Linked DNA regions of Kluyveromyces lactis. The protein of the gene in region 2 interacts with the protein of the main gene of each other region in a pairwise test. Links are inferred from orthologs where the notes say so. Each region holds a gene or a part of one and is shown on either strand. Other genes may lie near its edges.

What was found.
Region 1: the proteins of SEC16 (region 2) and SEC31 interact in binary tests that used the Saccharomyces cerevisiae proteins (3 or more experiments, as listed by UniProt). The link is inferred for Kluyveromyces lactis from reciprocal best matches to the Saccharomyces cerevisiae genes SEC16 and SEC31.

The regions. Positions count from the first base shown.
Region 1 is NC_006042.1:504,693-508,952, reverse strand, and holds the start of SEC31 (Sec31p), read right to left. Parts: upstream 2,947-4,260; coding exon 1-2,946. Other genes in the region: COA4 (Coa4p), read left to right, coding at 3,732-3,986; SCM3 (Scm3p), read left to right, coding at 4,259-4,260. UniProt on the Saccharomyces cerevisiae protein: Component of the coat protein complex II (COPII) which promotes the formation of transport vesicles from the endoplasmic reticulum (ER).
Region 2 is NC_006041.1:2,124,018-2,128,122, forward strand, and holds the end of SEC16 (COPII coat assembly protein SEC16), read right to left. Parts: coding exon 605-4,105; downstream 1-604. Other genes in the region: MBA1 (Mba1p), read left to right, coding at 1-394. UniProt on the Saccharomyces cerevisiae protein: Involved in the initiation of assembly of the COPII coat required for the formation of transport vesicles from the endoplasmic reticulum (ER) and the selection of cargo molecules. Also involved in autophagy.

The DNA.
Region 1 (4,260 bases), on a different chromosome or scaffold from region 2:
AGGCGCATAAGAGTTCGTCTTTTTTAATGGTAGCGGAGGAGATGCAACTTCGGGTGGGGAAGTAAGCTTTGGTGTTCTTCTCACATTAGGCGGTGGTGGTGGGAGCGTTGAGTTTGTAGATGCTCTCGAAAGTGGAACCGCTGCAAGATCGGGGGTACCATACGATGGAGTTGACATGCCAATTGGAGCTGTGTTGACAGCCTTGGCACGGGTTGGTTTTTCTTTGCTTACTGATGGGAGATCATTCCAACCGTCGATTGGTTTATCATGTAGATGAGGCGTTTGACCAGAATATCCACTAGCACCGGAAATTGGTGGCGGAGCGACTGGAGAGCCAAGTGGTACAGGCGCTGCCACAGGTAGTGGGGCATATGGGTTAGGTGGGATACTTGTAGCAGTTTGTGCATATGGGTTCACTGGTGGCGTGTAAGATGGTCTGGAACCCACAACAGATAGAGGAATTTGCTGATTTACCGCAGCCGGAGCATATGGATTGGGTGTTGGAATTGCAGAAGTTGTCTGTGGAACGAAGCTTGGCTTTCTTGGGACGACATTTGGAGCAGTTGAGGCAGGAGGCTGATGAGGAGCAGCCAAAGGATTTGGGGGAGGAATTCCAGAGTTTGATAAACGAGGCGCACCATTGGCAGTTGGTACGGAAGTTGAACCGTATCTTCCTTGTCTGGATTGTAGGGTACTGTTTGCTGTCCTTTCTGTTGACCTAGTAGTACTTGTTTTACCGGAGGCAATCAGCACACGTTGCTTTTCACTTTTAACCTCTTCGTTATCGTCCGGTAAAGTTTCCAAAAATCTTAATGAAAGCTCGAAATCGCCATTGGCAGCTGTGACATTGACGAATTCCAAAAACTTTGAGATTAGCGTTTGATTAGTTAATTTAACAGTACCTTTGTCAAGGTAGTCAGATAACACGGTGAACCTTTCCACAAATTCAGTTAAACATTCCAGATGGGCCTCGTATAAGGTGTCCTTTTGAGACGTCAATTGATTTTCAAGTTCAGGGAATTCTTTCAGCCAAATTGACGCAATGCTTTCCAAGGACTGGCCGCTCAAATATAATAAAATAGCATCTTTTCTGTTTCCCTCGTGTAGTAATCTATCACCTAATTTTACTAAAAGTGAATTTTTCTTTGAGATATCTTCCTTGGTGTAGTTGAAAATGAACTGAACAGCATCTTTCCATTGAGAAACATCGATGTTTGTAACAATATCTTCAACATCGCGTTGAGCAACAGAGAATAAAGTTCTTGCCAACCCAGATTGCTCAGAATGCTTGGAAAAGTAGGCGTTCTTCGCTTTATCCGCCAACAAGGCATCATTGGAAGTAATAGCGATCACCAAAGCCTCTAATAACAAGTCCTTCTCTAAAGCCTGATTTAAAGCAGATTTCAAATCACCTTTGATCAAAAAGTTAGTGAGTGGTTTCATTGATTCAGAAAAATCAAGCTTGAAAGCGCCTTCGGGAACGAATTTGTCGTTTAGTTGGTTGAAGAAGTCAGCACCATCTTCTTCTGACTTTTTGATGATGTCTTCTTTGGCATCATCTAATGATAATGCATCTTTCAAGTAAAGTGCAGTTCCATCCATAGATAGATTCTCTAGTAAATTCCAGTCATCTTCGTTTGTTGCGTTGATCTTTTGTGATAATCTCTTATTGATCAATTTCACGAAGTCCTTGGATTTCAAGGACTCATCGAAAAGCTGATTCTTTTCCAGTCCAGAAATACAAGGTTTTACTACACTGACACCTTTACCATCATCGGATATTCTAACCAGCTTACCACCGAATGCCCATTGAGCGGCAGGAGATTTGTTGCCGTACCATTTTGGGGCTTGGATCTTGACAGTGTTAGGTTTGTCATCAACTGAGTTGGAGGTTACATTGTTCCAGAATTCATCCTCAGAAGCATGTTGCTTACTCTCATTTGCCTGAGCATCCAAGGTATTGCTCAAATTTTGCAACGTTTGAACGACGATCTTACTATCAAAGGATGCGGATGCAAATAAATCTGGAGCTTCAGGAGCAAATTTGGATTTAAAGACCCAGTTACCACGTGGAGCGAACTGAGTTAAGATGGAGCCTTCTTGCGGATTCCATAACACCGAAGTGTTATCACGACCACTGGATAACAATAGATTTTCATCTTGTTTGCACCAATCCAACGATAAAACACCCTTTGAATGTCCTTGTGATAGCACTTTCAATGGTACATGAGCATTTCTTAGATCCCACGTTAGGACAAGAGGTTCTGTATCTGAGCTAGAGGCGGTTGCAATAATGGTAGAGCTGGTTGGATGCCAGTCAACAACCGTCAATGGGACCTTAATACCAGTGGTAGAGGAACTGTGGTTCAAATGCAAAACTTGTTTCTTTGCCTTTAAATCCCACACAGATGCATACCCTGAAGAACTGGCTGATGCAAACACATGTGCCAACGATTGGTTCCATGACAACGAGGAAACTTCATCGATTGGAGTATTACTGATACCAGCCGAAAAAGGAGAATAATCTGAAGATCCGATCTTGTTTGAATCCCAAACAAAGATTTCACCTTGAGTGCCACCAGAGACAAGAACATTGTTCTGTTTGGCATTGAACTTCAATGTCTTGACAGGACCCTGATGTTTATGGATCTTAGCAACAGATTTCAAGGCTTTTGGATCGAAAAACTCAACAACACCATTTTCTAAGGCACCAGCAATTATTTTGTCATCGCCCGACCAATCCAAATCGTTGAACTTACCGTCAGCGACAACAGATCCACTAGGTTTAGACCCATCAAAAGACAATAGCGACCATAGTTCTAATGTCGAAGTACTTGAAAAATCAGCATCAATGGCTCCAGATGCAGGACCAGTCGCCAAAACTGGCACCCTATCGTGAGACCATGAAAACGTAGCCGTACGCGGATACTCAGCTAGCTTCACCATTGCTTCAAGTTATCACACGGGTATTAGCTAATATTGATGCGCAAACTCAATGCTACGTGTAACACTGTTTAGCCACCTTTTATTCTTCTGAAAAAGATCAGAACAAGCTGTTGTTTTCCTAAAATTCGGTTTACATATTTTGAATCTTCAATTTCTTTGGTTTCTTCAGTTCCCATCATTTATAAAAACTTCAGCAAATTATTTTTTTGCAGTCGAGATCTGGCCCAAAATTAGGCGAGACACCATCCAAAGGGACAACAACATGGACAATGTATACTCGAAAAGGGATCTTACTACCTATGTTACTGTACAATTATTGAGTTTATAGTAGGTATCCCGCACTAAGTACTGAATATGTTGTGTGCCTGGAGATTGCATAATCTTGAAAGCATTTATATCACGTGATCTCCCGGTGCAATTACGCCAACGCAAACCGCAGCCTGGTCGTTTATTACATAGATCAATAGTGTTGTATTGCAGTTTGGGGATCTCTGACGTTTTTTAACACAGCTTTCTTTTCTTATATTAATAGTCATTAAACCTTTTGTAGCTCAATCAAGCTTTTGGAACGGAAAATTAGTTCAGTGGCCATAAAGAACAATCGAGAGCAAGGTTTAATTGGAAAAGTAAAAACACTGAAGTATAAATGGTTAATTTAGTAGAATACAATACAATAAGTGCAATAGTACATGCAACAGTTAATCTTGAAACGACTATCACAGTCTACAGTGATACGTTGACCGAGTCAATAGCAATTATTCTGTCGTAGCTTCATACTTTCAATTATGTCTGCAGGAGAATCAAAATACTACAAGGAAGCATTAGCGGAGTATCAGGATATGGATAAAGAAGATCCTGATGCCTGGGACAAGAGAATATCGAACACAGGCTGTTACGTAGAGAATCTAGCTTTACAACTTTGCCATGCAGAGACTAATGATTGGAGACAGTGTCTTGGTGAAATGAAACTGTTCAAAGATTGTTGGCAATCCAAGGGTAATGACCAGAGAGTGGGGACAGTCGATGCAAAAGAACATTGAGATTTGCATTTACAGGTGTAAAAAGATCCTTCACTGTGAAGCTTTGTCGAAATACTCCACATATTGTATATAGACCCATTTAATTGTATATGCGAATACCCATCTGAATATTTTTAGTCTACGCAGCGCAACATTTAAATTGACATATTTTAGTTAAGGATAATGAATAATCGTTTCAATACAACATTTACACCAGAACATAACGAAATTTAACCAGTTCCCGGACCATAGGTGAAGTTTCCAAGTAGAATTACAGCAATAGTGCTTTATTGAT
Region 2 (4,105 bases):
GAGAGCCAAACAAATCCCATCGAACATTACCTTGGACTGGGAATTGATTAAATTCAATGAAGTTCCAAAGTTAGTTTCCACACAAGCCATGATGATTCCCGGTCGTCCAGTTGAATTAATTCAATTGATTTATAAGTTTGATACCAAACAAAGGTTAATTAAGTTCGACAAGAAGAAAAGTAAAACTGATAAACTGGACAGAGATGTTATTGACTATATCGCTTTCCTTTGCGATGCAAGCACAAATGATATTCTATTAACTGGTTCTGTTTTTGAGAGTGCACCAGACGCGAAATTGCCAAAAGATAGCGAAACTTCGAACCAAATTGTAATCGAAAGAATGAAAGTTAACGGAGACTTGTTCAGAGTTCAACCACCTGTTAAAAAAGACTGATAAAAGTATATCTTAGTAATTAAAAGGCCTCGCTTTACGATACTACCTTGTAAATACCAATGTAAAAGATGATCATTAATGACTATATTTATTTATTTTCAGTAAATTCATAGACGTCGAAGTACACTAGGTTCATTTAACGCTATATGCAATACACTTGAGAACAATTTCGAAATTCAATTATCGGAAGAACTAGTTAACAAAGTGATGTTATAAATTTTCCATAACATTAACGTAACCTCTAGTCGATTTCTTTTTCCTTCTCGTCGACGATGCGCTGCTAACGCCTCCAGTCAATGCCATTAAATCATCTAGACCGTTTGCTTTTGACCCAGATAAGTTGACATTAGTATTCGAAACAGGTGGTTTCGAAGATACGGGTGATTCCGACTTTGTCTCTGCATCATCGGAGAAGTCTTTCACAGGATCAAGCGGTTTGCCGGTCAAAGGATTGGTGGGCATAACTGCGTGTGCAGTCCGTAACGCTGGACCTCCCACAACTGAACCTTGACGGGGTTTTATTTCAGGCGTTTTTGACATCTTACGCTTTACGACAGGAGGTGGTGGAGGTGGAGTCGCCACTTTCAATTTCTCTTCCTCAGTAGCATCCTTATTAACCCATCTTTTCAGGTTTTCGTCATAGTAAAAGTTATTCGCGTGTCCTAGTTTGGCCTTAATAGGTTTTTTCTCGTTAGAATCCTTCTTAAACCAGCCTAACCAACCTCCTGATGATTCGTTCTTCTGCTTCTTATCAGGTTTCCCGGCTTCATCCTCGCTCACAGTTTTAACTTCATCTTCATCTTCATCATTTTTCACTTTCTGGTTTTGATTTTCCGAGTTTCTTTCGGATATTTCCCTTTTTACTGAAATAGGTTCGTCTTCATCTTCGTCTTCTGTGTCTTCGACCAAGTCATCATAGTACTCTTCGGTATTAGTATCACTGACAATGAATGGTACGAAATTTGAGGTTTGAACCGGTCTGATTACAGGATCTTTGATTTTTGAAGAAGGCAATGTTTGTGAATCGTTCTGCAAGTGTGCCGGTAATCCAATAGATTTAACAGAAATCAAATTTTCTCCGAGACCAATATTAGAAGGAACAAAAGAATTTAGAGGTGGTGAGGACGTTTTGTTTTCAATTTCTTGTTTCTGTCCGTTTGGAGAATCAATAGTTTGCGGTTTGGCATCTTCACCGGACAGTTTATAGCTTCCATACGCATACATCGCAAGATCTTCTGGGCCACCTGTCTCATTAACTGGAGCACTATTATTATCATTGTTATAAGGCGAAGTTGAGGTTTGAGGCAGGGATGCCATAGAATGACTTTCCGTAATAGAAGAAGGTGAATACGGATTGTATGATTTTCTTGCAGTGCGTGGAGCAACACCGAAGCTATTCTTAGGTGCGTAAGGGTTCGCAGGTTCTGCTTTGTCTACACTCATATTTTTCAAAGAAGAAGGTTTAGAAGAAATAGAAGAGGCCGGGGAAAAAGAGTTGAGCGGTTGAGCTTGCGTGACGGGAACATTAATATCGGTTACTTGATTTTTGTCCTCTTCTTGCAAGTTTTCTGCAACAGGTAACTGATTGGTGACGTTTAACTGAGAAACAGACCCTTCAACGCCAGAGATCGAATTTTGTTCGGTACTCTCGAAATTGTTATCGTCTGAAAACTCTGAGTGCTGTAATTCATCTAATTCTGCATCAATTTCATTCCCAATCTCTTCCACAATGTCATCAACTACCGAATGTTGTTCATTTTCATGGAAACGAGGTGGCGCATTACTCCCAGTTTGGGTAGATTCAGTGGTTAAACCCGAGGTGACTGTATCATCGAATAGATTTTCTAACGGTAGTGCCTTATTGGAAGTAGATGATTGATGCTTCGTTGATTGTGGAGAGACTATTGGGGAAGGAACGCAGAATGAAGCAGTATTTTGGTTTGGCACACCCATCTTACTATAGAGTCTGTGGCCAGAAGAGACTGAAGAATTGCCATCTGATAAATCGTGATGGATTTGATATCCAGGGTATACTTGAGCTAAAGGTGGCAGTACAGGTTCAGGTGTAGAGTTGGAATTTGGCAGTTCTTTTTGTCCGAGAGAGGTTGCACCAGAGGGATTAACATAGTTATCAGGCTCTTCAAAGTGTGATGGATGTACAGTGTTACGAGCAGATGCAGTGGAGTTCAAAGGTTCTATATTAGAATGGCTGCCATAGAGCTCCCCAATTTTAGACTGAGGTTTCATATCACGTAGTGGTGGTGGACCGTATTTAGAATGAGTTTCTCTACTAGGTAATGATGAGGCCGGTAGGATTTTCGTAGTTGATTTAATGAGCGAGCTGTTATTGGACTGTAGCTGATTGATATGTGAGCGATTCAACGCAGGAGTCAAATAGGATGCTGCTTGTGATAAATCTGCCATGGATGGGTTTCTCGAAGAAGTTGGTGTAAACTTCTCAAAGACCTTGTCTTCAATTGCTGCTGTTTCTGACTCATCAATGTCTGTGTCACCTCCGATAAACTTGTTGAAGGATTTGTCAAGCTGTCCCCATACGCTGCTTAATTTTGGCTTCCCTAACCAGCCTACATTACTAGACGATAGTTGATTACTCAAATCTTCAATATAGCGTAATGTTTTCAAGGTAGTCTCTGAGTTCTTAGGAAGTGATTTTAGCATACTTTGGGCCATATCCATGTATTTTGTTGACGAACTGTTCAAACCGTAGTCACTTAAACCAGCTGCATGAATTATCTTCTGCGGTATCAATGACGTGAATCCGGAGAATGATGGATCTTTCTGACCGTACGTAAATTCGTATATTTCCGATAAGATCAAACTTTCAAATGAGTTTGGGCAGCAAATGTATTCGAATGTTGTAGAAGAAAACGGAATCAAAGGCTCTTCGGACATTGGAATATCGGCAACGATAAAAGCGATGGAACCAGCAATGACAAGACCTCTGCTGACCAAAAGCTCTCCGAATTGAAGCAAAAATTCCACCACAATAGGGGAAAGTTTTCCATTCGCAGGCACCTCCTCACAATTGTTTAGAATACATGCAATCAATAACTTCCAGTTATTTAGAGACCACTCTAGTTTCGTGGGATCTTGTTTAAAAGAATCTATCACCTTTTTAGAATTGCCAATGAAAACCTGGAAAATTGTAGCCAATAAATTAATAGAAGAGATGTCTCGTTCGTTGCTTTGCTCAAATTCTTGTGTCAAATACTGGTCCACAACTGACGACCATTTTTCCTTTCCTAGGATACTACCCAATAGTAATGCCATAGCATAATCTTTTAAAGCTAGAGAAAGATTTAAAGCATCGTCATGTGCGCCTGTTTGCAATAACGTTAAAACTCTAATCAAAGAATTGGCATCGAGTTTGTGAGCATTCGGGGCAGCAACCTTTGGAATGAACGGCTGAGACAAATAAGGAAGCAATATACTGGAATCGTAAATTATATTTGTCACAGCTTTTAAACTGTAGGATGGATCCAAACGCAGTTTTAAGAGCTCAAGCAAAATACAGGTATCATTCGCACCCTTTAGTTTCTTCTCTTCAATATAAGTATCTAGCCACTTAGCAATATCTTTGGATTTTGATTTTCCCTTGATTAGCGGACCCGGAAACTGTTCAAGAGTCTTGTCAAGAGTCAAAATGGAGTCGTTCGAAATAACATTAATTGAATCTAGTTTGGGCTCCAC